Linked DNA regions of Astyanax mexicanus. The protein of the gene in region 1 interacts with the protein of each later gene in a pairwise test. Links are inferred from orthologs where the notes say so. Each region holds a gene or a part of one and is shown in the gene's direction. Other genes may lie near its edges. The genes, in order: stat3, blk, cytoplasmic tyrosine-protein kinase BMX and sri.

What was found.
Region 2: the proteins of stat3 (region 1) and blk interact in binary tests that used the Homo sapiens proteins (3 or more experiments, as listed by UniProt). The link is inferred for Astyanax mexicanus from reciprocal best matches to the Homo sapiens genes STAT3 and BLK.
Region 3: the proteins of stat3 (region 1) and cytoplasmic tyrosine-protein kinase BMX interact in binary tests that used the Homo sapiens proteins (3 or more experiments, as listed by UniProt). The link is inferred for Astyanax mexicanus from reciprocal best matches to the Homo sapiens genes STAT3 and BMX.
Region 4: the proteins of stat3 (region 1) and sri interact in binary tests that used the Homo sapiens proteins (3 or more experiments, as listed by UniProt). The link is inferred for Astyanax mexicanus from reciprocal best matches to the Homo sapiens genes STAT3 and SRI.

Annotation. Positions count from the first base shown.
Region 1 is NC_064426.1:26,731,817-26,738,768, reverse strand, and holds the start of stat3 (signal transducer and activator of transcription 3), read left to right. Parts: upstream 1-3,945; 5' UTR 3,946-4,155; intron 4,156-6,952. UniProt on the Homo sapiens protein: Signal transducer and transcription activator that mediates cellular responses to interleukins, KITLG/SCF, LEP and other growth factors. Once activated, recruits coactivators, such as NCOA1 or MED1, to the promoter region of the target gene.
Region 2 is NC_064408.1:70,998,078-71,005,552, reverse strand, and holds the start of blk (tyrosine-protein kinase Blk), read left to right. Parts: upstream 1-4,471; 5' UTR 4,472-6,370; intron 6,371-6,957; 5' UTR 6,958-7,087; intron 7,088-7,311; 5' UTR 7,312-7,312; coding exon 7,313-7,396; intron 7,397-7,475. UniProt on the Homo sapiens protein: Non-receptor tyrosine kinase involved in B-lymphocyte development, differentiation and signaling. B-cell receptor (BCR) signaling requires a tight regulation of several protein tyrosine kinases and phosphatases, and associated coreceptors.
Region 3 is NC_064430.1:16,756,678-16,763,995, forward strand, and holds the start of cytoplasmic tyrosine-protein kinase BMX, read left to right. Parts: upstream 1-4,303; 5' UTR 4,304-4,382; intron 4,383-4,791; 5' UTR 4,792-4,799; coding exon 4,800-4,940; intron 4,941-6,808; coding exon 6,809-6,913; intron 6,914-7,318. Other genes in the region: uncharacterized protein zgc:113276, read right to left, coding at 1-46. UniProt on the Homo sapiens protein: Non-receptor tyrosine kinase that plays central but diverse modulatory roles in various signaling processes involved in the regulation of actin reorganization, cell migration, cell proliferation and survival, cell adhesion, and apoptosis.
Region 4 is NC_064411.1:40,018,468-40,026,083, reverse strand, and holds the start of sri (sorcin), read left to right. Parts: upstream 1-4,597; 5' UTR 4,598-4,742; coding exon 4,743-4,787; intron 4,788-7,616. Other genes in the region: uncharacterized protein LOC103031164, read right to left, coding at 27-341, 1,837-2,002. UniProt on the Homo sapiens protein: Calcium-binding protein that modulates excitation-contraction coupling in the heart. Contributes to calcium homeostasis in the heart sarcoplasmic reticulum. Modulates the activity of RYR2 calcium channels.

The DNA of each region.
Region 1 (6,952 bases):
AAATGACTGATCTATAGAGCAGGGGTCAGCAGTTCTTTTCCTGAGGGACTGGGGGACAGGGATTATAGATTGGCATCAGTCCCAGTCATAGACGCCCAGATGTCAGCACAGCGCAATTGAATCAAGTGTGTTTGACATGGGAAGTCACCAAACTGTGCTGGACTCTGGTCTTTGTACACTGTGAACAGATCCTGATCTATATATCTGAACCCTAAATTACTCTTCTATATTTAGTCTATAAATCATTTTCATTTACATTTCTATGATAGGCAATGTTACTCATTCAGCACCTACTGGCTGACCAATATGACCAAACTGGTTGATGAGCATAACCAGTAAGACCTCGCTGGCTGACCAAAACTGTTCAAACAGCAATTCCACCCTGATGATCAGCATGGCCAAACTCATCAACCATTGTAACCAGCATTACTTCAGTGCTTGACCACCATGACCTTGACCCAAATCCAGTGCAAAATCTCCCCACTCTGCTGACAGGTGCTGCCAGGGTGGTTCTATGCACAGGCCCTAGAAGCATATGAAACTCTTTTAACTGACTCACAGAAAATGGATGGATGGGTTTTTTTAGTGGCAGTTGAGACCTAGGTGGAAATACAGAGGAATGCAAAAAGTCTTGTTTTGCAAAATATGTGCTCTTTGAGTTGGTGACGTATGTGTCACAGACCCTTTAAAAGGTGTGGAAAGTTCACTGTTTGCTGAAACTTCACACCAGACCTCAAGCAGCTTGGACTGTGTGTCTCTCCACTCTTCCTCTACTGATGGTCAGTGATGGTTTGGAGAGACATGTCATCTGCTGGTGTTGGTCCACTGTGTTATATCAAGTCCAAAGTAAGTGCAGTGTTCTCATGGAAAATCATATAGCACTTTTTAATGGAGACACAGATTTCATTTTCCAGCAGGACTTGGTACACTGCCCACAATGCCAAATGTACCAATTGGACTTATATGATATTTAAACTTTCTGAGATACTGATTATTGTATTGTGTTTTAATAGGCTGTGAGCCATAATCATAATCAAATTAAATAAACACTTGAAAAATATAAGTTTTACAGAAATTCACTTTTCAATTATTTTCAAATTTTTTGAGATGCACAAGTATACATTCCTGGAAGAACGTACAAGACCACTTCAGTTTCTCTGATTTAACTTTCGATAAGTAAATGTTTGAGTAAAACTAGCATTGTTGTTTTATTCTATAAACTACGTACAACATTTCTCTCAAATAAAAAGTATTGTCATTTAGAGCATTTATTTGCAGAAAATGAATAAAAGATGCTTTCAGACCTTAAATAACGTAAAGAAAACAAGTTCATATTCATAAAGTTTTAAGAGTTCAGAAATCAATATTTGGTGGAATAACTTTTTATGCACCTTGCATAAATGCATAATGCACCTTGGCATGTTCTCCTCCACTAGTCTTACACACTGCTTTTGGATAACTTTATGCCTGGACTTCTGGTGCAGAAATTCAGGCAGATCAGCTTGGTTTGATGGCTTGTGATTGTCCATCTTTCTCTTGATTATATTCCAGAAGTTTTTAATTCGGTAAAATCAAAGAAACTCGTCATTTTTAAGTGTTTTTTTCAAGAGCCATATGTAAAAAGAAAACGGTATAATATATTAATTACTGTGATTTACCATATTGATATTAATCAAAACAGGGTGGAATGTTGTGGTTTTGCTTTGTGTTTAATACATAGAGGGAGGGAAGCTGGGGGAGTGGCGGAGTCCCCTTGCATCCCCTGTATTAACCCATTTCAACCCATCGGTCACAATTGTGACCAAAAAATGTTTTTTAATTATTAGCCTCTAAAAATGTTACTGGTTAATTTCCCAATACTCTATAAGGAAATATTGAAATATTACAATGTTTCAATTAAATGTGGACAGTATCAAATGTTTTGAGTAAATTGTCACATGACCAGAGCTGTTTACTTCCTGGTTGCATCTTGAGAAGAGGATGGCTGCCTCAAAGCTCCCAAATAAAAGGCTGGTAAAGTATGTTAAAATAAACATAGAAACAAATATTTTTGTACACATGCTCTCGAAGTTGTTTAGTTATGATATATGCATTCGTAATTAGTCAAATGTCTTTGGTGTGTTTGCAGAATGAGTAAACATGTAAACAGTCACAATTGTGACCGGTGGGATAGAATGTTGTATCTAGATGCACACATACTAAATATACAAACAAATTTCTTGTTGCATCTTACCTATATATATTTTTATTTTAGGATGACTAATTTTAGGCATGCAACGTTGCTATCATACCTCAAAATGAGAAAGATGCTATTATAAGTTATTGTGATAGTGATGGGTCAGATATGGACTACCATATCTGGTTACTTTATTTTCTAAGTTACTGTAATACAATGTCTGACTGATTGTTGAACAGAATCAAGCACTTCGCTCAGGTGCCTACCTCGTTACTGTATACCTGCCTATTATCAATTTTTTGTTAAATTAGGGAATAACGGTGTTCAGTAAGGAGTAATCAGTAACTAATTACTGTTATCATTTTCAACACCCCGTTACTGCACGTTATTTAGACGCTCAATTAACTATTTTTTTTTAACTTTGCGCATACAGACAAATATGCAAGTGTGTGTGTGTGTGTTGTGTGTGTGAGTTACAAGGGAGGGGAGGATGAGATAACCGCCTAAGCAATGATTGTTGTCTTTGCTGTTGTCTTTGGGGGCTGGGAGGTGGGGGGGGAGGGGGGGGGGGTTACGGAGGCAAGTAACAAAAGTAACCCAGTAGTTACTTTTACTGGTAACCAGTTACTTTTATAGTGGAGTAACTCAGTTAGTAAATCAGTTTCCTTTTCGGAGAAGTAACTACTAACTATAACTAATTACTTTTTCAAAGTAACGTGCCCAACACTGTTTACTAATAGTATACACAACAGTTTACATCATTCCTGAAGTTTTGAATGAAGTATTTGACTGTAATTTACATTTAGTTGTAAATGTTGTACTAAAATATTACACCAACATTAAAAGATTTGCAGTAAAGTACAATTTAAAATGTTTACAAATAAATGTTTCAATACATGTTACACTAAAGTGATGCTGTTGCAATTTGTATTTGAAATAATTAAACAAGGTTAACATATTTTGAACATATTTTGCCACGGGTCTTAGTGTTCCTATGGTGTGGAAAGTCCCAAGTTCCTGATCAAGTATTCTGTTTCAGTGATTGCTGTCAGAAGGCCCTTATTTCAACAAAAAAACTATTTGAGCAACCTTTCATTGAGAATACGCATATCATCCCACCGGTCACAATTGTGACCGGTAATAAAACACACTTTTTCATCTACTTTTCTCATTTTTTTGGAGGAAATAATTCTTGATTATTTCAAAGGGTTACTAATAACACATGATTTGCATATTTGCATGTCTGGGAAAAATTTGGGCATAAATGGGTTAAATGTTTAAAAGTGAAAGTAATGAAGCGTTTTAAAAGTAGAGGTTTTATACAGTAAATCTCGTATAGTTTCGTCTCTGCTTTATTACTACACTATTCCTGAAGGGCTCTGTGGTGTAGAGTCGTGCTGGAGCGGGATTGATCAGGAGGATAAACGTCACGATCCCCCTATCAATATCAACACCTCGCTTTCGCTGTATTGAAGCCGTGATGACGTCGCCGCTGCCAGTAATTCAGATGACTTCCAGCCGGGCTGTTCCAGGAACGCGAGCGCTGCCCCCTCCGCTGCACACGTACGCCAACGACAGCCCGGAGGGAGGAAATGAAGTCGTGTGGGTCAACCAACCCAGACCAATAAACAACTGGCTCGCACAAACCCGCTGGCGGCAGAGCCCGCCTTTATGGTGCTGTTTCTGCGTCACGATTGGACAAAATTCTGGATGTGCAACGCGATTCGTCATACGCGCTGTCAATCACTGCGAAGTTACAGCCGCCCCGCCCCTCCTTCAAGCCAGACCTCTCTGGACTTACATTTTTCAGGCTGTTTCCATAAAGTTAGGATAAGAGTGGTCGTTGAGGGAGTCTGGTATAGCGTTTTATTCGATATTTACACGCTTTGGAAGCAGTTTTGGTTGCCTAATTCACTCATCGGCGGGTCGAAGACTTTTGCCACCCTTTTTTCTGAATTTGCGAAGCACGGATACAGAGGGTAAGTCAGTAGTTAACTAACCTAGGTTAGCTAAGGAAGGCATCCAAGAAACGAGCCAGTTTGAATTTTTCAATTTTTATTTAGCTGACTATTCTTTGTCAGTGAAATACAGATAGATAGATACACGTTTTATTTTTAATAAGTGGACTAATGTGCGCTGGGGGACTCAGACTCAAACCCACAGATACAGAATAACTGATCTGAAAGTTGGTTGATGTTGGGCTGTGTAGTTCTGAGAACACGATGCTCCTGCATGTGTGTGTGTGCGCGTGTGTGTGTATGTGTGTATACCGTGAAACATAGCTGTGTGTGTCGTCTATATTACTTTGGCCCTTACATTATACATATAATTTATGTCTGATTGGATGAATGTGATATATCCAAATAATTCTCTCTCTCTCTCTCTCTCTCTCTCTCTCTCTCTCTCTCTCTCTCTCTCTCTCTATCTATCTATATATATATATATATATATGTATATATATATATATATATATATGTATATATATATATATACATATATATATATATATATATACATATATATATGTATATATATATATACATATATATATGTATATATATATATGTATATATATATATATATATATATATACTATACATTATTTGGATTAGTATCTATTATTTATTTATTTGTTTGTTTACCTTTACCACTAAGTAAGGCATCATCCCGTCTATGATGCGTCTATGACACATTATAAATGTGTATGTGTGTGTTTGTTTGTTTTGGTCATTCTATTATTATTCTTTAAAATAATTAATGTGAAATGTTTGTTTTTTGTTGTAAATAGACGACAACTAAGGTAAAAATACTAAAGCAGTGTTCAACTCCTAAATGCATCTTTATGGTGTTACTCCATGTGCAAATATGTCCAATATATCTCTGTGTGTGTGTGTGTGTTTGTGTGAGAGAGAGAGAGAGAGAGAGAGAGAGAGAGAGAGAGAGAGATACAGAGTGATGCAGGGAAAAGAGAGAGAGAGAGGGAGAGATAAACAGAGTGATACAGGGAAAGAAAAAGAGAGATACAGAGAGTAATACAGGGAAAGAGAGATATAGAGAGAGGTACACACAAAGTGACACAGGGAAAAAGAGGTGTACAGAGAGAGAAAGCGAGATAAACCAAGTGATATAGGGGGGAAAGAGAGAGAGAGTAAGAGAGAAAGAGAGAGCATGAGAATAACCGCAGGCTCAATCTACGCTTTTCAAAACCGTTACATTTAGCGGGTGGGGGGGGGGGGGGGGGTTGGGGGAATGTCCCATCCAGGCACCGATCAGCAGCCGTTCCTTATCCTAAAACAATATGAACACTTAAAAATATACTCAAATATATACTCAACAGAGGCTGGTCCAAAAAAGAAGGCAGCGAACTGTAATGGTAGCTAGAGCTACATCTTCTTAATTTGATGGAATTTATATGCTGTGTTTTTGTATTTACGTTGTATAAGCAGCACATCACATTCACAAAAATGAGACACTAAAATCTGTTTGAAATCACTTTATTTTTCACCTCCTTTGGGGCTGTCCCTGTCTACCGTGACGTCACGGCTTCCAGTATACTGATGGAGGGAATCCTCTCGTTTCGTTTCTGAACACTGCCTGCTGTGAACAGTGTGTGTGTGTGTGTGTGTGTGAGTGAGAGAGAGAGGAGGTGCTTTCACACTGCACGCCGTAGCCGCGCCGCTGTACGCTGACCCCCATCGGATTCATTAGTTTCTCCAGCTGTAGGAGCAGTGCAGAGAGCGGTGCGTTTCCACGCCCATAAACCACGCCTCCACTGTGCTTAACTCTTTCCGCGGTCAAAGTTCAACACGGTTCAACTTTGACCTCGCGACCAGGTCGGACAGGATTAGTTTCGCAGGGGGGGGTCTCTGAAAAATATTTCACACTTATACTCAGTGATAAAACCCTTGCATCAGGACTGCAATTGAAAAAACAGGTGGACCAGTGTGTTTTTTGCTTGTGTTTACGCTTATTTCCATGAAAACGGGCACACCAACATGTAATTATGGCAGGTGACAGTGGACAAATAGCTATTTCATTAAACCTGAGGTGATGAAATTCAAAGATGTGCATCCGAACAGACTAAAATTACTGGTTGACCGCAAAGTTTAGCAAAAAACAGTAGGTAATGCTGCATGTAATTTTTTCAGAGGACGTCTGAGAAAAACACATACGTGGTCGTTCCAGATGGGAATAAAATCACAGAGGACCCCCCATAAAATAGAAAATTACACCAGGACCCCCTGAGAAATTAAACTCGTCCGGATAGGGCTTTTAAAATAATTTATATTTTTTTGTTTACTTAGACACCCGACAGTAGCAAAACCTGCATAATTAGAAGGAATTATTAAAATTAATCATTCATATTTAGAAAGATAATTATTACTGGCCACCTTATTTTCTGTTTAAAATATCCTTTATTAACCTATACCACAGTTAGTTCTGACCCTGCAATTTGATTGGCTGAGAGGCGTTTTATAAGCGACATTATCAGCCGGTAATGCACCGTAACTTAAGCACTCCATATATTACTCCGCAACATACTTATCTTTTATTTTAATAATAACAACTCTTATCATAATATTGATGGCTGATCGTGTGTGTAATAATGCGTATTCTTGAATTGCTTATTTGTGTGGACCACATAAAATTTGCAATTATTCCGGATTAAGCGTGTTTTTTACAGTTAATGTAAAAAAATGTACATGAACAGAACAACTCAATGAAAATAAATTAAACTTAAAAATAAAGCACATTCAGCTTCTACACTTCTGGAAA
Region 2 (7,475 bases), on another chromosome or scaffold:
GTCTTGTGTTTCCAGCCATGTGCTTTTTTGAGCACATGGCATTGTTTTGTTATTGTTCTGTCTCCACCCTAGCCCCGCCCTAGCCCAGCCCTAGCCATTAGTGTTGTCACCTTGTGTCTTGTTTGTAACCCCGCCCCCTCATTACCTGTCTTCACCCTCCTTGTGTATAAATAGCCTCTTGTATGAGTGTTGCCTTGTGGAGTCTTTTGTATCTATGTGACTGTATATTCGTGAGTAGAGGTTGTGTTTTGTGTTACTTAGAATCTTGGTCAGTTGTTTTGTATTTTCTAGTTAATCTTTGTTTAAAGTTAGAGTTTCTAGTTTAATTAGTTTCCTTGCATTTGTCTAAGTTTAATCCTTATCCTAGTCTTGTTTTTTTTGTAAGTTTTTCATAAGTTTTTAGCGTTACCCGTGTTTTGTTTTCTGTATTTATTTTTCTTGTTTATTTAATAAATACAATTATTTATCTGCACTTACGTCCATCCTCTCCATTCCTCTCATTCATGACAGCTACCACCACCACACACTTGTGGTTTAATATTTTACCTATTACTCCACCAAACACTTTCCTCCATATGATGTCTTTTTATGTGCCCATGTGATTGGTGGTAAACATAAGCTTAAAGATGTCTTTGCTGAAGGAAGGGCTGATTTTTTGGGACAGCAATTTCTTAGTCTATAATGACTTGTAATTTGACTGTAAACAGTTAATTTTTTTTTCAGAAGCCTGAACAGACCTGTGGCTTGCCCTGTAAATGCAATTCCCTCTTAACTGAGGGTAACAGGTTACAGTAGAGTGGCTACACCCCCCACAAAAACATTGCGAGACAGAACAATAAGTTGAACTAATTGTCATGCAATGAGACAATAGTTGTTTAGAAGTGTTTGTATGATACATTTCTTACTCGTACAATCAATGCTGTCATATAAACCCTTTGTTTCTGGACCAGCTGTAGTCAATCATGAGTTCAACACAAAAGAATTTCAAAAGTTTTTACAAAAAACTTTCAGCAAGACTTAATTAATTACCTGGGAGACACTTTGAATTACATTGGGTTTTGAAAAGTGTGATAGTTTCTAGATTTTTTATTAAAGGTGTGCGAACAGTTCCAAAATTATTTTAAGCTCATGACTGCCATGACATGATGAGTGATGAGTATGTGTGAACTTCTGACTGTAGCTGTATGTCTAGTTGCTAGACAGACACAACATATTCTAAACAGTACAATAAAACACATGCAATCAAGTGGTGCACAGGTACCCCAGATAGCTTTGGTCGGTATGAAACAGCTCGCTTTTTAGATGCACACCACAATAACGACCACAGAAACAAAGCAAACTCTGTGTGTGTGCTGTTTCTTTCTACTGCTAACCAAACCGGAGGAAACAGCTGCCTTTTACACTTTCAATACACTTGTCTTGTTTGCCCATATGAATACAAAAAAAACCCAATCAGTTATATTTTGTATAGTTCTAGAATGTTGTACACTTTTATTTGCAAATTATTAGTTAATTATAAACACCAAGTAATGTTAGTAGTGCATGAATGTGCTTGGCTTGCAATGCCCCTCATATTATGTATACAATACACAGCACTGGAAGACTGAAATTGGTGATTAATGGCTTTGTTGTGCTTTTCAAAACTCTAACGTGTAGGGGTGGGGGAATACCTAGTTAACTGAGTGTATTTTTTATTTTTTTACTTTTAGAACTATCACATCCCAATAGAGTCACTGCTCAATTTATTGTTCTATAGAATCAACTTAAAATTCACTTAAGCTCTACTGATTCTGAATTCTGTTAATTTTGCAAAATGGTTTGGTATGAGAACTGTAACATTAAACAGCCAAAGTGTCCAGAAGAAACATTTACTTCCATTTACATCCTGTAGGGGGCATTAGAACCTGTACATGTTTTCACCCAACCATGTCCTGAATCATTAAAGCTTTTCAGACTTTTCAGACTTTTTTATTTAGAGCATGTGTAAATTCATAACTCAGTTTGGTTCCCTAAGGCAGACCTTAGATCCCTCCCTTATTTTGTATTTTAACATACATCTTACAAGACATCAAAGATAGACAGGAAAGTTGCTATGTTTCCCATGTGTCTGTGTGGGTTCTCTCTAGGTACTTTGGGTTTCCCCCTACCTTCCAAAAACACAGTCTGCGTTTGTGTGGAACCCTGTGATGGACTGGTGTCCTGTTAGGAGGTGTTTCTGCCCTGCACAATGATTTCAGGTAGGTTCTGATCCCACCAATGATTTTGTTTTGTTCTTGCAAGAACATTGCTTCTTTCAGTTTATCCTGGAACAATGAAAAATGTGTAAAAAATGTTTGCTTTGTTGATTAAAGACTTAAAAATGATAAAGGAACACATATGGAATAGAACTACTACATATGGAAGTTCTACGCTTTCGTAAAAACTCATAAATACATTATATGTTTTACTTTTGTATAATTACAGCTCCAAAATGTACTTACAAATTATTATATATATATATATATATATATATATATATATATATATATATATATATATATATATATATATATAAATAATTCTAGAAACAGAATGTAACAAAAGAGGATATTTTGTTGAAAACAAAACATGCATTACTGGGAAAACGAATGTATACATAAAACAGAACCCCACATAGGTTGGAAAACCCCCTTTTTCAAATATAATTTCGTTCATTATTTTTAATATTTTAAATGTTTCCTGCCACTACTGAGACATATCTAATACATGTATACTGCAGTATACTTTACATAAAGTTGTATTAAACAGCTAATTATAAAATTGAACACACACTGTAGATGTATAGCTCAGCTCAGTTAACTGCTTGGTGGTTAGACAGCTAGCAAGCTAAGTAGCTAACTGCACGGTGATCACCCACACAACTAATGTGATGTTAATTAGAAAAGATGAAAATAGACCGGAGGAATATTCATGAGCGTAGGAAGTGACGTCGCTGTTCCTAGGACACTTCCGTTCAGCGGTAAACAGCGTTCAAAACAGTGGACGTAACTTTTTAATTTAACATGAATGCAAACTTTACCTAATCTGAGAGTCACAAACATTGAAAATTAGGTCAAATTGTTCTTTGAACAAGTAAACTATGGAGGACCAAAAATTACATAAGTATAAATAAATACACATATAAATGTATACATATGTAAACAAATAAATGAATAAATAAATTAATGTTGAAATTAATAAATATATATAGAAATGCACATATAAATGTATAAATAAATAAATATATATAAATAAATAAATACGTGCACAAATAATTGTATAGGTAAATAAATTAATTAATAAATACATTTCTTATTTTTATATTTATTTATTCATTTATATGTGCATTTATCTATGTCAACATTTATTTATTTATTCATTTTTTTATTTAAACATTTATTTATTTATACTTATGTCATTTTTGGTCCTCCATAGTAAACACGTCTGCTTTTGTTTTTCACACTGCTGACCTGCCTGCAGTTACAGTGTCCGCTCACAACTTCTCCCACCTTCTTATCTATAAACCATGCAGAGTACGTTTTGGATAGCGTTTGACTTGCTCCAACCTCACCATACACTATAGTGATGCTTTCTCTACTACAGGAACAAATATTTTTTTCCACTGAGAAAGTAATTATATGCTCCCAAACTGCGGTGCGCTTTCACTGCGTCATTTTCAACAAGGTAGTGATCACATCTGGGAAGCGTTTTAAATCAGAGGAAAAAAACTTCCCTTTTTTCCCTTTTCACTTTTTACTAATTTCTGACCATATGTTTGCTCTGTTTTCGGGAGATTTGCGAAATATGCGCTCTCATTTTGACAGCTATATACTTGAAAATAGCGCCACCGGAAGCGTCGGAACAGACATGCTCAGTAGCTTTGTTATTGTTTTCCTCATTAAAACGGTAAATTTTCAAGTTTTAGGGTCTGTTCAAAGCATACCCGAACTTTATCTACTAGTTAAAAAATGAGCTGGACAATTAGCTATTGTTTATACCTACTGGTATACGTAGCTATGCTAAGCTAGCTAGCTAACTATATAACTATATTTAAACTAATTTTTACCACAGAGATTCACATTTGCAGCTCACTGTCTAGCTGTCTCAGAGTGTGTGAAAAAGGAGAGCCGAATGGGCTTATTCACGCACACAAAAAAGACTTTACCTTTATTTTATTAAAAAACTGATACTTACTGTAAATGTACAGTTATTTTTACAGTGTGCTTAACTGTGTTGGTTTTCAGTTATTTACTGGTTGTGAAGATACAGTTGTTTAAAAAACTGTTGAAATGTTGACCTCTGTGAGTGTCTCATTGAAAACAGCAGATTGTCTGAGATATCTAAATGTCTGATGTAGGAAGTAAGGTTAGAAGTAAAACAAGTTAAGTGAAATAATTTATTTAATATATCATATTAAAAAATTTACCTGAGTACAGTAATGAAGTGCATATACTTCCTCACTTGCCATCTCTGGTCTTTAAAGACAACGGGAAGTCATATCATATTTAAAAGATGGAAGGCTAGCATGAACTGAGTTATATGATGTGAGCCATCACATCTTAGAGAACTGCTGCAATGGAGGGTCCATTAACAGGCTGCACTGTTTATCATTACCTTATTTTTTTGCGCTATAAGGCGCACTGGATTATAAGGCGCACTATCAATAAACGTCTAGTTTCTGGTCTAATTACATACATTCAGACTGTTTATTTATGTGAGTAAAGCGCTTCCCTTTATTTACAGTAAGCTTAGATTTCCAAATTTTCACTATAGCTGGGTGCAGCAGCATTAGCATTAGCAGCTAACCGCTAGTGCTAGCAGGGAATGTTAATCTACATAGATTTCTCTCCTGAAAAATGTTTATTTAGGTGAGTAAAGTGCTTTCATTTATCTACAGTAAGATTAAATTTCCAGATTTCTACTATAGCTGAGTGCAGCAGCATTAGCATTAACAGCTAACCATTAGTGCTAGCCATGGTAAGTGGCTAATGTAGGCCAACAATACCTCTGAACGGCCAAAAAGCTAGCACTTAGCGCGATTAGCAGCTAATGCTAACACTGCTGGAGAACTAAACTGAAACTCCCGTATAAAGCTGTAATGCAATTCTACCAGGTATGTTGTAAGGAGCAGTAAAGTCAACTTTACTGCTCCTTACAACATACCTGGTAGAATTCACACATAAGGTGCACCAGATTTTAAGACGCACTGACGATTTTTGAGAAAATTATAGGGTTTTAAGTGCGACTTATAATGCGAAAAATACGGTATAAAAAAATGACAGGGGAGAGAGAGGGCAATCCTAACAAATTAGATCCACTTTTGCTCGCTGGGAATAATTTTTCTCAATTATTTTCTATATAATGTTTGTAATAATTGCACATTTAAACAACACATAAACATATTTAAACCCTGTTTCTAAAAAAAATATATTTACAATTTAGAACATACTAGGGGTAAATGAAGGTATTTTAGTATAGGATAAACATATCAGCAAATGTACTGTAACTAAAAGAAGAAAACCACATCGGTCAAAGCAGGAAATATATATCTGTGAGCTAAGTCACATCCTGTGATGCAGTGTATTTTAAGAGCTACTGAAGTGGTCTCACTAAAAACAACTTGCTTTTATCTTCATGTCTTTCACACTCCTTCACACAGAGTGGACTGTGAAAAAGAGGCTTATGAACAACTGATTAATTCATCAGCTATAAATCATGACCCGTAGTCGTGGTCAATGTATGATCTAAAAGTAGATCTGTGTAGGATTAGGGTTAAGGTTAGGGAAGTTTATTAGCCACACCAAGAGAACTAAATACGCTGTATAACTCCTTTAGAATTCCGGAAAGCTACTCCCTCAAGGAGTTCCACAGATGGCCAAAAGATATACTCCAATCAAACCAAATATTATGTTGTTATCAATTATAAAATGTTAAAATGATTGCTTTACACATTACAATTGGTTTCTCTAGTTTAGTTTTAAATGTGTCTTTTGTATTTTCTCTGTTCTGTATTTTGTCTTTGAGTGTGATGTAAAAGCTGAGTGAAGAAGCAGCAGAGTTTGTGAATTGAGCTCTGGTGAAGAGGAAAGGGAGGGGATAAGCAGACTAAATAAACACAACAACTGCTCTGCATTTATCTAATTCCACTAATGTGGTCTCCCAGAGCACGCAGTGGGCTTCAGCTGCTTTTCAGATGATGATCATAAGGGTGCATGTAAGCAAGTGAGAAAAAAAAAACAACTAAATAAACAGAAAGTTAAAAAATAGAGACAGAAGTTCCTCACCTCTTCAAGAATTCTCTGACAGAACTGGATTCTAACTTACAGCGAATTTAAGGCGGCAGAAGATGTAGGTAGGTACCTGAATACATTTAATTTTTTGTTTTAACAAGAATCAATATTTTGAAATGAGAACAGATATTCTGGTATTTGATGATTTGGACATTTTCAGACGTACCAGAGGTAAGGTTTCTAGTGTTTGTCAAAAGTCAATTATGGGAAATTCTTGTGATGCTTTATAAGAAAAAAATATATATTTGTAATATCCTTATTTAAGTGTCCCGGATGTTAAATCTCAAAAGTCACAGAAACATGCTATTTAAAGATCTTTTTTTATGGTCCTTATTATAGCGCTACTGGGCCAGAGTCATAATGAAGTTTAAGATTCAGTACATTATATTCACAAGATGGATATATGACTACACATCATTAAAATAATTAATAATATAATAAAGAATAAATAATAATAAATAGTCTCCAGGGCTTTGTGTTAAATATTGGTGCTGGTTATTATTTCCACATTTTTTGACTATCTCTATTGATTTTCTTTATTCTTGTTTCTTTAATTTCTATAAAATGTTTCTTCTGATGTCCCATTTTAGTTACTTTGCTTTTTGATTTAAACTTTGCCTTAAGCTTTGTGTTATGTTTCATTGTGAAGAGTTTGACTGGAGCTTATCCTCATGCTTAGACCTCATTATGAGTGCAGATGCTCATATGGACTACAGAGCTGCGTGCTGACGGGAGTGGAGACTGACATTAAGCATTAAAGATCGGGTGTGAGCTGGCAGGTAAGATGAACTGCTTTAAAATCTAAAACCTTAAAATTAGATTTTAATGTACTGAAGTATGGCTAGCCTAGGTCTGCATGAGATGGATAAGATGCTATAGGGTCAGTTTATCCGGACAGGATTTAAGCCTAGTCATAATCCCTGTCTGGGAAAATGATCCATAGAATTGCAGCTTTAAGAAATACCTAAAACTGTACGCCTTTCTCTTTTTCTGAATTTTTAAGAATGGGCTGTACTTGCAGTGGTCAGAAGAAACATAAAGAAAAGGGACATCTAAACAATAATTCGGCAGCCAACAACAAATCACACGTACGTATTCCTAACTGCTGGTTCAAAAAAGCAAATGTATTAGACAACAAAGAAACATTTATTGCTGTACATGTATTTA
Region 3 (7,318 bases), on another chromosome or scaffold:
GAATCAGAGCATGAGGACCTCCTCCCACTATCAAAACATCCAGCATCTCAAAGAGAGGGAGACATAATACATCATTTATTAGAAAATCAGCTAAAGCAAATGTTGGCAACATTATATCTTAGAATACACTCTTTCATAGGTGTAACTTATAGGTCTAGCTAATACTTTTAAATGTATTGCTGTATTACAGAATGCTAGGGGTGTACAGATGTGGGCTTTTTGACAAAAGTTCGTGCTCCCCACTTCACACCGGAGTTCTCCTTTAATCCACTTTCTCTTCACTCTGCCATGCAGTGCCATGCATGACCACTGAGTAACAGACTGGCTGTATATGCTGTGGTGGCTTCAGAAGGACAGTAACACAGTATTTCTGTACTTTATTACTCAGAACCAACAACACATTACTGTCATTATCAGCAGTCTTCATTTCTGCTGCAATCGTTCACACAGTGCTCTCTATGTTGGTTTTGTCTGATGCTTTTCCATTCTGTAAGCTGATGCTGCACGCTGTCAATGAGCCACTGTCCACTGTTTAAACTGACGTGAGATAAAATACACCATGTTGTGCCATTGGTCAGCCAGTGTGCTGATATTAAAGCCTAATACATTCTAGACTAATACATTCTAGACTAATACATTCAGTAAGATTAATGTTATAGAAGGACAAAAGATATATATAAAAAAAATGGGCGATTCTAGGATCTAACACTGGATAGTGGATGATTGTGAGTAGAGGTTAGAACGGGCCCAAAAAATCCGACCCGACCCAGCCTGAGCCCGTGCACATTTTGCCTGAGCCCGACCTGACCCAAACCATAAACTATCATTATGAGTCCGAGCCTGACCCGACCCGCCCGACCCATAAACTGGCTGTTTTCGGGCTGTTTGAATGAGCGAAATATGATCAAAATTATGTTAAATAACACTGTAACATAGAAGCATAGAACTATTATTTAATTAAAATGATTTTTAAGAACAGCTACACACAGTGCTGCAAGTCAAATGCGAAGGAGTTCACGTGAGAGAGAGAGATTTGCGTGTTCTGGTGTAAAGGTTCTCACATACTGTATCTCCTGTTTCTCTTTTATCTCCTCGTGCTCATATTCTAGTCCCATACATAATTCTCTCAGTGTTTTCTGTCGTATTTTGCTATTTTGCTGTTGTGCCGAATCAGACTCCCTGCTGAATCTGACTCCCGCTTCGCGGACAGAATCGGCACAACACCCCCCTCTGTACAACTGCGGGAGTGAAAACAGCACTTAAAAATAAATTAGTTATTTCACTTTCAGTTTTTGTTATTTGGTTCGTTTTCGTTAACAATAATAATTGGTTACTTAGCAACATTGTGATTATCACACCAGAGCTTTATTTTAAAATAAAAATATAATTAAAAAACAGATGCCTACATCTCAGACTATTTTCTGGAGCCCGACCTGGCCCGAGGAATGTGGTGGTAAATCTCGGCCTGAACCGACCCAATTTCGGGTCGGGCCTCGAATCAGGTCGGGTTCGGGCAGACAATCTAAGCTCTAATTGTGAGCCTGCAGAATTAGCTCACTAAATTAATAACGTGTCATACAATAACAGCATAAATAGTCCTGTTTGATTTGTGCACACAGGCCTGTCACAATAATTACTTAATATACTGATCATACAGTATGTTTGTACAACCTCTATAATTTTATTTATCAATTTTACTTTATTTATGTCAGATTATTGAATTGTTCAAAATCCACACATTTTTGGTGACTTTAATATCCTATTGTATTATACTTGTTAAGGGAGAAGAGCACATTAATGTGCATGACCAGAATGTTCACTTTAAAAACTGTGGTTTCATTTTGTTTTTATTTGGAATATTAGAAATATGTTTTATGTCAGTCTAAATGTCTGAATATTCTTGAGAATAAAAAGTTCATTACTGCAATTGTAATTTTATGCAAGGAAATTATCATTATACCAGTGGCATGAAGCATCTAAAAATGACAATAAATATCATTTACGGCAATTATTTATGGAATAATATATCGTCCACACTAAAACTGTTATTGTGACAGGCCTGTGTGTGTGTGTGTCGAAGTGTGTGTGCGGTTGTGTGTGTGTGCGTGCATGCTCAGTGCACAACAGAGTGGAGAGAAAGCCTTTTGAAAAACCTTTTGCATGTTTAGTGGAAATTAGTATATTTAATTTCTAACATTTTTTTAGGTTTTAAGAGACAAACTTCCATTAAAAAACAACAAAAAATATTTATTTATTTTCACTTTTGGGGTGCTGGGACTCATATTTTAAAAGGGCTAGCTATGCCTATGATGGAAAATATATGATGCCCAACTCCTAAATCAGGCAGCATGGTCATAATCACTTATAACAGAAGCTTAAGTATAGCTTTAATGTATACAATTATTTATACCTCTTTCAATCACATCAAGATTCTTGATAATTAAGGTTTTCTCATTAATAGACATTGAACGATATTGTAACAATGCAATAAATGCAGAATTGAACTTCTTATCTTATTCCATTGTTTCTTAAGAGTATTAAACATACTTAAATATATCATAATGTACAGCTGGTTCAGACTGTAACATTTTTTCATGTGTAACTGTGTAACATATCTACACACATTAATGACTTTGCTGAAGGTTAAAAGAGGTTGTTCTGTACCTGGTTATTGAGATGTTTTCACAGTTTCCACCACAGCTCTGTCACAGGGGGCATTTGAAAACAGTGTGAGTCCTGTAACTCTATCTGTTCTGCGTTTTTACATTCATTGCACTATGATTGGCTCCCAAGGCTGAACGTCAGTGTTAAAAATACTCATGCCGCACAGCAGAGAGACCATTTAGCTCTTCACACAGACACACACGCACACACACAACAAACTCCAGTATAAGTGGAATTATCAACTCAAGCTTTTTACTCAAGTAAAAGTGTAAAAGTACTGGTTTCAAACCTACTTTAAGTATAAAAAGTAAAAGTAATGTAAGGGAATAATGCCATAAAGGACATTAATGCCACAGGAGCTGATAATGCATAGAAAGTACAGATAATTGTGTGTAAATGTAAGAAGTAGATATAAAAAAATATTATTTTTTTATTATAATTAAATTTATACTTCAGTAAGATAATGCAATATTTGGACTCCTGACTTAATTAACACTTCTGCATTATCTGTCACGATAACCGTTTTTGTTTAGACAACATTGTGTTCCAGACATAATTGCGATAAACAATGTCAACAGACAGTTCTTGTGGAAACAGGAGAGTCTGCCGTGATTTGAGCAGCCGTGGTTTTTATGTTTTTTGGATACAATCCGGGTTAGCACCCGAACATCCCTTTCAGACAGCTTCCTCTTGCATCCACAGTTAATCCTGTTGGATGTGGTTTGTTCTTCTTGGTGGTATGTTGACATTACCCTGGATACCATGGCTCTTGATGCATCACAAAGACTTGCTGTCTCGGTCACAGATTCGCCAGCAAGACGTGCACCAACAATTTGTCCTCTTTTGAACTCTGGTATGTAACTCATAATGTTGTGTGCTTTGCAATATTTTGAGCAGAACTGTGCTCTTACCCTGCTAATTGAACCTTCACACTCTGCTCTTACTGGTGCAATGTGCAATTAATGAAGATTGGCCACCAGGCTGCTCCAATTTAGCCATGAAACCTCCCACGTTAAAATGACAGGTGTTTCAGTTTCACTGTCCAACCCCTGTATAATGACAATGTAATTGATTCCATCCTAAAAATTACTCCAAACATAAAAACTAACAAGAATGAGTGCCAGTAACAGGAGTAAGTTCCAGTAACAGGAGTGAGTGCCAGTACCATGAGTGATTACCAGTAACAGGAATGAATGCCATTAACAGGAGTGATTTTTTTTTTTGTCATAAATATCAAATAATTGAACATGCAGGCTATCATTTCACATGAGTTTGGTAACGAACTTCAGTTTAGAAACCTTTTAAAAAATTAAGTAGCTTTCAGCTTTTAAGTAAAGCTGAGTTTGACCAGTGCATGTTTTGAATAGTTAAACACAGTTGTTATTAGATTCAGAGTTGGAAAAAAGATACAAAAAATAATTTTAATTTGGAAGAGTTGCAAGCATTTTTTTTTTCTTTTTTCTTTACTTAGCATACCTATGTATTCCTCTGATGGACCTGTGTAGGTATGTGGTTTCATACAAAGGAAGTTAGTGTTTGTTCTGAATAGTGTCAGGGTCATGCAAATACATTAAGCAAACAGTGCCCTGCTGCCACACAGAGGCCTTTGTGAAGCAGCACCTTCTTTTAACAGATATCAGGAAACTGCACCAGGCTTTTGCAGCTATAGTTTAATTCGGGACCCAAAAGGCCAGACGATCGTTTCTCAGCCGGCACAGGTATGATATTTACCGTTATAAAACCTTAATGTGATTTAATTTATTGTGAGACTTTATACCAATGATACACTGATGCTCCTAGTTGTGATAGTGGAAATATGCAGGGAATGTAAAACAGCAGTGTTTTCCTTTTTTCGTTTTTATTCTACTGAGCGTGGTGTTTTGTGTTAAGTATGGTCAATCGGGGGTTGTATACTGCTTAATACTGTTTTCTCAGGTTATGACAGTTAGAGGTAGAGGTGCACACAGCTGAAAGGATGTTGATGTTTTGCTTAATTGCACGTAATAAAGCAATCATTCTCTATGCTGCTATAAACATTGTTGTAAAGCACTCTAACAACAAAGTTTTATTAGTAGTGTGTCTTATTCTCTGTGTGTCTCTGTGTGATTCTCTGGTGCCTGTGTCCAGTTGTCCTGATGAGCGAAGAAGGGGTGGTTAAAGAAGGCATCCTGCTGAAGATGTCTCAGCAGAAGAAGAAAATCTCACCCAAAAACTATAAGGAGCGGCTCTTCATACTGACCAATAAGACTCTGAGTTACTACGAACATGAAAAGGGGGTATGGCTTTTCATTGCATTTTTTCAGGCTTATTAGTTCATAAATATAGAATAGGAAAGGAGCAGATTGTTGTTTACAGTTAAGCCCTTCAAGGCCTATTCACACTAAATCCCTACCTGGACAGGATTAGTTTCTCAGGGGGTCCTGAGGCAATTTTCTCTTTGTAGGTGGTTCGCTATGATTTTATACCCATCCGGAACGACCATGTATGTGTTTTTCTCAGACGTCCTCTAAGAAAATTACAGGCTGAATTATCTACTGTTTTTCGTTACGGTGTTTCATCAGCTTGCGTTTAATAAAATAGCTATTTGTTCACTGCCACGCACCATAATTACACTTTGGGCGTGCGTTTCCACGGAGAAAAAGCAAACACAAAAGCAAATGAAAATAGAGGAGCTACTGAAAACGATGTCATGTGACCGAGAAAGCCAAAAAACTCACAGGTCCTACAGTTTTTTCAATTGCAGTCTGGATGCTAAATTTGTAAAAGTAAAAGTGTGAAATATTTTTTTTCATAGACGTCCCCCAGAGGAAATAATCCCGTCCAGATAGGGCTTAAGTAAGGTTTTTATTCCTTAAGTAGGATTTTAATCCTATGGCATAGTGTTGCCTTACTCTATTAACCATACTCTATTTTTTATTTATTTATTATTTATTGAATTACTTATTTGTTGATTTGCTTGTCCGCTTATTTATTTGTCTTTAATATAACAGTACATGGCATATATACTACTTACTAATTCTACTAAATATCCACTACTAATTAAATAAATTACAAATAAAATGCTTCTCTGGTAAACTTTTGTTTACATTCCTCCCCTGACTTTCTGTTGTGCTCAGCGTGAGTTTCTGCTTGTTCTTGTTTTCCCGTCCATTCTAGGGCTCCCTATCTCCTTATAAGGGCGTATTTTCTTGGCCGTGTCCCAATTCACTAGCCGGGGCAGCGGTAGTGTATTGGACCTTAACCCTGACGACACGGGTTCAATCCCGTGTGAGGAGTATTGTGTTTATTTATTTATTTTTCCTTTCTTCTTTTTTTGTTTACCTGCTTTGAATTCAACCGTTCTGCAATTGGGTTCAACAACCCTCTGGGCTGGAGAGCTACTAGTCTGTAGCATTCCATCCTATTACACATCATACAAGCCATATAATGGCTTGGAAAATATCTGTCCAGTGGCCAAACTTAATTGCAGACCCCTGGCTAATGTTACAAGTAAAATGCTGACTATAATAAAGCAGGGATTAAATATATATTTCTGTTCCAGTTGATTTGGTTGGAAACAACACAAACCGACTTGTTATAAATGCTTTTTTATTTATTTTTTACTTCTGTCTTCCTGTTGCCAATTATTTTTCCAGTTACTACAAAACACATTAAGAAATAGTACATTTAATATAATAAAGAGATATTTTTATCCAGTAGATGTTTCAGTAGCATATACTTATCTGATATTTCCCAGATTTATTTATTAAAATTCCACCAATATCATTCCCACTGATAAATACAAACTCGTGGTGGAAATTATGTGCAATCATTTTCTAAAATGTTTCTGACATGACTTGAAAGCAGCATAAGCACAGCATAGCAAAAGGAAGATGTGGCAGGAAGACTTACAACTGTTCTGTTATTTGTTCCGCTGTCTGGTGTCATCAAGGAAAGGAGGGTTCTCCTTATGAGTTTTGGTTCCTTCTAAGGTTTTTCCCCTCTCAGTCTGAGGAAGAATTTAATTGCTACTTTATGCTTTATGCAGGGGGTAAGATAATATTTTTGAATTTAATGCATATGCATGAATATTTATTCAGACAAGCCTTTTTGTGTGTATTTTTTTTTTCAATGCATTATTGTGTGCTTTTTCTCATTGTTGCAGAAGCGGAAGGCAAAGAAGGGAGTGGTGGCAGCAGAGAAAATTTGCTGTGTGGAGATAGTTGAGCCTGAAGACAATGCACCTGCACAGAGAGAGTTTCCCTTTCAGGTTTTAGTCATTAACACACACATATTCACACTTACATGATTCCTTATAATTTGTGCATGAACAAAAATATGGTGTTAGTATATCATGATGCAACAGCGACTAATTATCTGGGCAATACACTAGGTTAGCCATTTAGCTCAAACCTGCAAACTATAGCTAATAGTTGGGTTAAATCGAAGTCTGATCACATTTCCAAAATTACAGGTTTAAGTTGATTTTTCACATATATATATATATATATATATAATGAGTTAGCTGAGCTGAGCTAGCTAACTAACTTAGCTAAGCTTTTGTTTATCAAAATATTGACTGCATTTCTCAGTGTAAACTAGTTCCGTGTGATTTAAGTAGCACGGCTGTGGTACACATATGATAAAAACTTGTATTGCTTAAGTAAATTCAAGG
Region 4 (7,616 bases), on another chromosome or scaffold:
AGTGAATACATCTACATAATACCCACCATTAAAACACTGAGGAGACACACATGGACACTGGTTGGTTGCCTCATTGCCCCATCTTGAATGAACAGTCCTGTATGGGCATAAACAGCCTTTATTCTGTTCTGACCCTTCATTCATTCTGTGATTTGTCGGAGGGCAAGACGACACTCCGTGAATGTGTTCTTGGTCATAGTCTGTTTGATGGGTCTGTTCCAACCAGACTTCGTGGTCTTCCAGCTCCTGTCCAATGTGGACCTCTTCAAAATCTTGATCAGCTACAGTCAAGCAGGAATCTGTCTCTATCTCAATATATTCGTGGGTGAGGTCAGTTTCACCTGAAGGACAAAAATAGTAATGAATAGTATGAACAGATTTTGTTTACAGATACGTTCTAAAGTAGACATTTCTTCCAAAAACCCATTAATGAAGTTTGCATGAAGATTTTGACATTCACTATTGTTTTCTTATTTGGGATTTGTGTATTGTACAAGGACAATGGTGTTTATCACTGTATGGTCAGAGTTGTGAACAATTTGGGCTTTTCTCAAGAACAAATCTAAGAAAATTCTTAGAAAGAAATGAGTAAATTGCCACTAATCTTCAACACTAAGTATAACACAGAAATCAATGGTACTAGTGGGGTAGATACTTGTATATAAGCAGACCTAATCAATTTATCTTATATTTAATGTCGTTTGCATCTTGCACTTTTGCTCTGTAGGTTGTTTATTGGCTGATTGCACCATCTACGGCAGTTTTATATACCCTACCAAAGTTTTATATACCCTTTGTATATCTATATATTTTTTCTATATATCTGTTTTTTTGGCTGTACTTATCTATTTGTGTTGTTTCAACATACTGGATACTGTGTCTATCCATCCATCCACCCATCCATTCAAAATACTGTAGCTACAACCTAAGGACAAAAGCACTTGAAAAATTCATTGCTTATTCATTGTTTCTTCTGAAATAAAGTGAATAAAAAAGAGTTTATCCTGTTTTTGTTGGAGTAACTGTCTCTACTGTCCAGACAAAGACCTTGGTAGGTTTCTCTAAGACCATTTTACATCAAACCGATGCTAAACTTTAAACGTCTTTACAAGTACAAGTATTCCATCATCACTACATTGCTTGGTTTTTTTCATATATTATATTCATATATTTCATGTATTACACTGATATATTTGTGGTTTTAGGAGGAAACGTGGGCGTGTGAGAGAGAGAGGGGATTAGGTGTGAAGGTGGCTGTTTCTGGATCTGTTACAGGATGACGTTATTCCACTGCCCATCTTTCTCTGTAGTGTGTGCCAGCAGGCCTGCTGTGATCGGGTATGGCACTCAGCTGCAGGCTTTCCGATCGCCTCGGAAAACAAGGCAACCTCAGACAGTTTCATATCCAGACCTCTAGGTTTCTAATAAGATTACCATCCACACTCATTTATTAACCTTTTAAACTGTAATTCTAATGCCAAGTATGTGGCCCAACACTTCAATGCCTTGCCCAATATCATATTCCCATTCATTCTTTAATCAGCAGGCTCTAAATTTCTTATTTACTTCTTAATTTTAATTCTGTGTTCCATTTGAACACAAGTGTCAGTATATCTAAGTGCACAATCACACAAAAACATATTTCATACCTTTGTGTGACTTCTTTCACACTACATTACATTTACCAACAAATTAAATGTCCTTCAAATGGTTATCCATACCAGAGAAGAAGCACTTTTGGTTTTGTGAAGATATGAGCCAACGATAACTAATACATACATAATAAAACAATAATAAATAATAAAGAAAAAAACACTAATATTTTTAAGTTCTTACCAGCATAATAGCACACTGTCGGTTGCTCATGCATCCATGAAGCACTGCTGTCCTCATTCTCCTGCTGTCCACAGCAATCATAGCCAAGTCCACCACAGCGTCTTCTCAAGCTATGCCTACAGACTGGTCTGTCTGACCACAACAAATAATGGTTTTGATGATACATATCAAAGTGTTACACACAGATTGATGATCTCTTGATGCTCCGTTCGCTTTAACCCAGCCAGCAGATTGTGGAAGGTAAGTGGGCAGAGCTGGGTGGGTCATTATAGATGACATTCCAAGCCACCCACCCCTTCTGTGACGAGACACGACATTCAGTTTCCTGCTCAAGTCGGATGTGATGCACCTCTTACTGCTCCCACTTAAACTGCTGTATAAAGAATGGTCAGCGGTGCAACATATGGCCATAAGATTCTATTATTAACAGCAAGATTTATTGGAATCATTCCAATCACTATTACATCATATGCATTCACTGGTCACTTTAATGGAAACACCTCCCATGTGCATCCGCTTTATGACCATTCTATTAGAAATATACCTTAGTGGTTCCACTCACTGGCCACTTTATTTGAAACATTAGCCTTCTACTCTACTTTCATGCACTGGCCACTTTATTAGAAGCCTTAACTTTAGTGCTTCCACTCACTGGCCACTTTATTAGAAACCTGAATTTTAGTGCTTGCACTCACTGGCTACTTTATTATAAACCTTAACTTTAGTGCATCCACTCACTGGCCACTTTATTAGAAACCTTAACTGTAGTGCTTTCACTCACTGGCCACTTTATTAGAAACCTTAACTTTAGTGCTTTCACTCACTGGCCACTTTATTAGAAACACTTTATTAAAAATCCCAACATTAGTCTTTCATTTACTGGCCATGTTATTACAAAACCATACCTTATAGTGATTTAGCTTTCTGTCCACCTTAATTTTAATTTGAATTTTAAACCTAAGTCCACACACTGGCCACATAATTAAAAGCCCATACCTCACAGTGCTTCCACTCACTAGCCACTTTAATGGAAACATCAGCCTTCTACTTCCAAGCACTGGCCACTTTATTAGAAACTTTAACTTTAGTGCTTCCACTCACTGGCCACTTTATTAGAAACCTTAACTTTAGTGCTTCCACTCACTGGCCAATTTATTAGAACCATCTACTTTAGAGAGCTTCACCTTTCTGGCCACTTTCTGTTTAGAATCCATAACTTTAGTGCTTCCACTCACTGGCCACTTTATTGGAAACCAATATTAATCATAGTGCTCTCCACTATGTGGTCAATGTTGTCTCTAAAAAGTGATTAGGGAAAGCACATCATCTTCATCACCAGCAGAGGGCAGCGTTTACATTCTGGAATAATCTGAACTACTGCACAACAAGCTCTAAGAGTTGGGCTCATCACAGCTTTTTCCATTGATAATGTGATTTAATTATCTTTTTAGGTCAATATTAAAATACAAGAACCTAAAATTTCTTATTATTTGAGATGAGTATCACCTCTCTTATTTTTACACTGCATTTTTTTAAATGTCAAAAAAAATATAAATAAGAAAATTAATATGTGGCAGGATTTATTATTTATTTATTATTAAGTCATATTTTAGATAAAATTACAAGCTAGTGAGTTCAGACATGTGAACTTGGTAAAGGCTAAAAAATTGGAGGGGTAGTTTGGGAGGGGCACAGTTACACAGTGTCACTATTATACAGTTGAACCTGAGAGTGCACTGCAGGGGCGGAAATTATAAAGGAAAGAAATTTTTCAGCTGGATTGATATGTTTCAATACTTCAAAGGAACACATTTCAGCTATTAATGGAAAAAAATATGTGTATGCTCTTTAAACCCATCTAGACAATGTGCAGATAATGTTAAATAATGGTTAATTAAAGTTTTTTTTCCTCGTCATCAACATTAAGCGACGTAATGCAACCAAAAAATAAATGTTTATTTAATGTTCTTGGTTGACAAGGTTTGACAATTACTACTTAGCTGACCTGCACATCTGCCGACCCACAGTTTTTACTGTTTTCTTGTTTTTTTAAATGATAATTCCATTTTCCTCTGGTGCATTTATATGTTTAAGTGTTACAGATGAAAAAAAATAAAACTAAAAAAATACAAGAAACAGTATCATTAGATTACTTTATATTTACCTTCTGGTTTTATTTAAATATCCTAGCCGCTGTTTAATTTAGGCAGTTTTTATCCATACACATCACATATATACAGCTCTGGAAAAAAATAAGAGACCATTTAAAAATGATGAGTTTCTTTGATTTTACCAAATTGAAAACTTTTAGAATATAATCAAGAGGAAGATGGATGATCCCAAACCATCAAACCAAGCTGAACTGCTTGAATGTTTGCGCCAGGAGTAGCATGTTATCCAAAAGCAGCGTGTTAGACTGGTGGAGGAGAACATGCCAAGATGCACAAAAACAGTTTTTTTTTTTTTTTTTATTTGCATTATTTGAGGTCTGGAAGCTCTGCATCTTGTTTTGTTATTTCAGTAATTTCTCATTTTCTGCAAATAAATGCTCTAAATGACAATATTTTTAGTTGGAATTTGGGAGAAATATTGTCCATAGTATAAAACAACAATTTTAATTTTACTCAAACATATACCTATAAAAACTGAAGTGGTCTCTTAATTTGTTCCAGAGCTGTAGTTTACACTGTGGTAGCACACATCGTCAGGATACCGGAAAACGGGTGGAATATGTAAATGACTGCTACCCGAAAACGGGGATATTTTATGAGCAGCAGGATCCTCCCATTGCGGAAGAGGGAGCGGCTTTAATGAGATAAAAGTGCGAGTTTTCAGTCGACTTTCACTTCAGACTCCCATCTGACCTCCTGAAGCCGCAGAAGAACAGTTTAAACTACGTTAAAATCATGAGTTACGGTTACGGAGCTGCACCCGGAGGACAGCCCGGAGGGGTGAGTGTTTTCCGGCTCTGATTAACCGGAGCAGCGCGGGGGAGGGGAGGGCTGCCGCGGCTCTGTTTTTGAAGAGTTGAAGGGTCTCGCTTCAGTTGCTCTGGAGCCAGATTTCAGTGTGAGCTGAGTGAGGGTCACACCCTCATCCTGCCTGACTGAGACTGAGCTAGCTTTAGCCTTTAGCTTTTAGCGTTTAATAAATAAAGCCATGACTGCAGAGAGCTTCACTTCCGTTACACTGTATTTGACCCGCAGAGCTGCAAAACCACAGTACTGTACCCTCTAGTGTCGATAATGTAGCTTAGCTTCATTATATTTGATAATGGGTGATGATGTTTTTACCTTTTTTAAAGATGTTTTAGCCGTTTACTGTGTGTTTACTGCTTGTTGGAGGGTTAATATCTCGGTCAGTGTTTCCACTGTTTTTTTCTGGCCTTAGTTTATTGGTTTCTCTGGACTAATTAGGATAAAATGCTATAAATCTGTTGAAATGGCCTACACAATGTAAGCCACAATGAATAGGTTGAATTACTTAAATTATTTGAGAACTGGTTGCCTTAACATTTTTAAATGTTTCTTTAAAACTTGAGTTAATTTGACTAAAAAAACAAACAAAAAAAATAGTCATAATGCCTTAATTGTAAGTTAATTTAATTAATATGCTGTCATATCAATTGATTTGCATAATAATTCTACTTTAATTGTTATGGTCAGATGAATAAAAATGTTTATTTAATCCTCTCTTCATTTAATTTAAGTAAAATACAGATAAAAAAATAGCTCTATGGTAGCTACACTGTAAATCCACAATTAGTTTGAACAAATTAACTGTGCTTAATGTAAAATTTGATATTTCCAAACATCATTACTCAACTATTAAAAATAAGGTGAGCAGTTCATATACATTTTAAATGTAGTCCTTTGAGTTGATTCAACTTATAAGAACTGAGTTTAGTCGGTTGCGACAAACTATTTGCATTCTGGGTGTGTCTTCAGGTTTCTGACACTCACCGTCAGTGTATAGTCGCCCCCCCCTCCCCCCAGGGCTACCTTTTGGTAAACTTGTAGTTTATACATTATGATTAAAAAGTGAATGGGTTTTTTATTCCCATTACTTAATGTGAGAAAACCAGTTGGAAATAATATCAAATTTAACAGAAAACAGACCTAAGTTTAAGTTCTAAATAACTGTGGGTTTACAGTTTAGAGTACCAGTCAAACTTAATATTGAAGGCATTAAAGCAATGCAGGAACACTTGTGGAATTATTTTGTAACAGTAAGTGTTGAAATTTGATAATATCCTAATGCTTAGGAAACCGGTTATACATGTCAGTGAACTAATACAGCCTGAGAAAAGCAGTTAAAAGCTTTTTTGCTTCTTTATTTGTTAAGTAGTTTTTCAATTATGTAGCAATTAAAAAGTGAAACCACGTGCTTAATTTAGATGTTAATTTTAACATTGGCCAGATTCAAAATGTCAAAAAGTGAAAAACTGCAGAAATAGAGACAGTGTTTTTATTTTTAATTTAGTATTGAAGGACATTCGGGGTCTAAGAGGTTAAACCCCTTTGGAACTACTTGTGGTTTCTGACTTTTTTATTTACCCCACTGGTATTACTATGGAACAAATGCAATGCAACTCCAATGCACTGGAATTACGTTAAACCAGCAGTTCTTGTTCATTAACTTGTATTGAATGTACTCTTTCACATGCTTTGTGCAATTACACACTCTCACAAGAGCACCCTAAAAAGTGATTTTGTATTTCACCAGAATAACTAATATTATCAAGCTGAGTGAACTTACCGGCCAGCGAAATTCAAAAAAATACACTCAGAACTTTAACCTGAAAACTTAAAAATGATTGTTGAGCCAATGAAAAAATGTGATTTCATCCAACTTTTAGTATACTACACGTGTCAATGCATTTTCATCAGTGTTTGTTCATACAGCTTTCCCATAAGGCTCCTGGCACCATATATTTGCATATTGGGTGTGGCCTCTCACTTGCTTACCATCTTTGTGTTGTCTGTTGCCCAAAGCTAATATTCTTAATCTCATAATCCCCTAAATTTACAGACTGTTGTGTTAAAAATTGACTATTGAAATATACAGTATATAAATGTTGAAACATTACACTGACCCTCTTTTTTGTTTGGGTGTATGTTCTCCACACATTTCCCAACACAGTACCACAGGTTCCCAATTGGCTCAAAATTTGGCGATTGCATTGACCATGACATCTCCTGAACTTCCTCACGCCATTATTTGATAAGCAGTGTGGAATTTCTCTTTGACTGGTTGTTGTATCGATTCATTGTTTGTAGTTCTCCACTAGGGTTGTCACGATACCAAAATTTTGACTTCGATACCGATACCAACTGTAGTATCACGATTCTCGATACCAAAACGATACTTGGAAGAAAAAAAAACAATAAAAATATCTGAACATAAAATGTTTATTTTTGACTGAACTGGATTGAACACTGAACAATCGGTGCAAACGTTTTTATTCTAAAATGAAACATTTGTACAAAAAACAAGTTTCGTTATTATAACCTTAACTATAACAATTATCTAAACACTTCCTAAAAACTAAAACTAAAACCAGAGGTAATGGTAGCCTGACTATGTGAACCTGACGGGCGGGCAGAAGTTAAGTTCTGAATAAGGAAAATAAAGAGACAGAAGAACATTACAATGTTATGTTCATTTTAACACTCACTGCTCCGTTTTATTAATCAACCGGTTACCGTTTTTAATAAGCCCATGTTCAGTGTAACGAGCAAGCAGGCTACGTGCCTGACCACAGATTTGCGATGGAAACG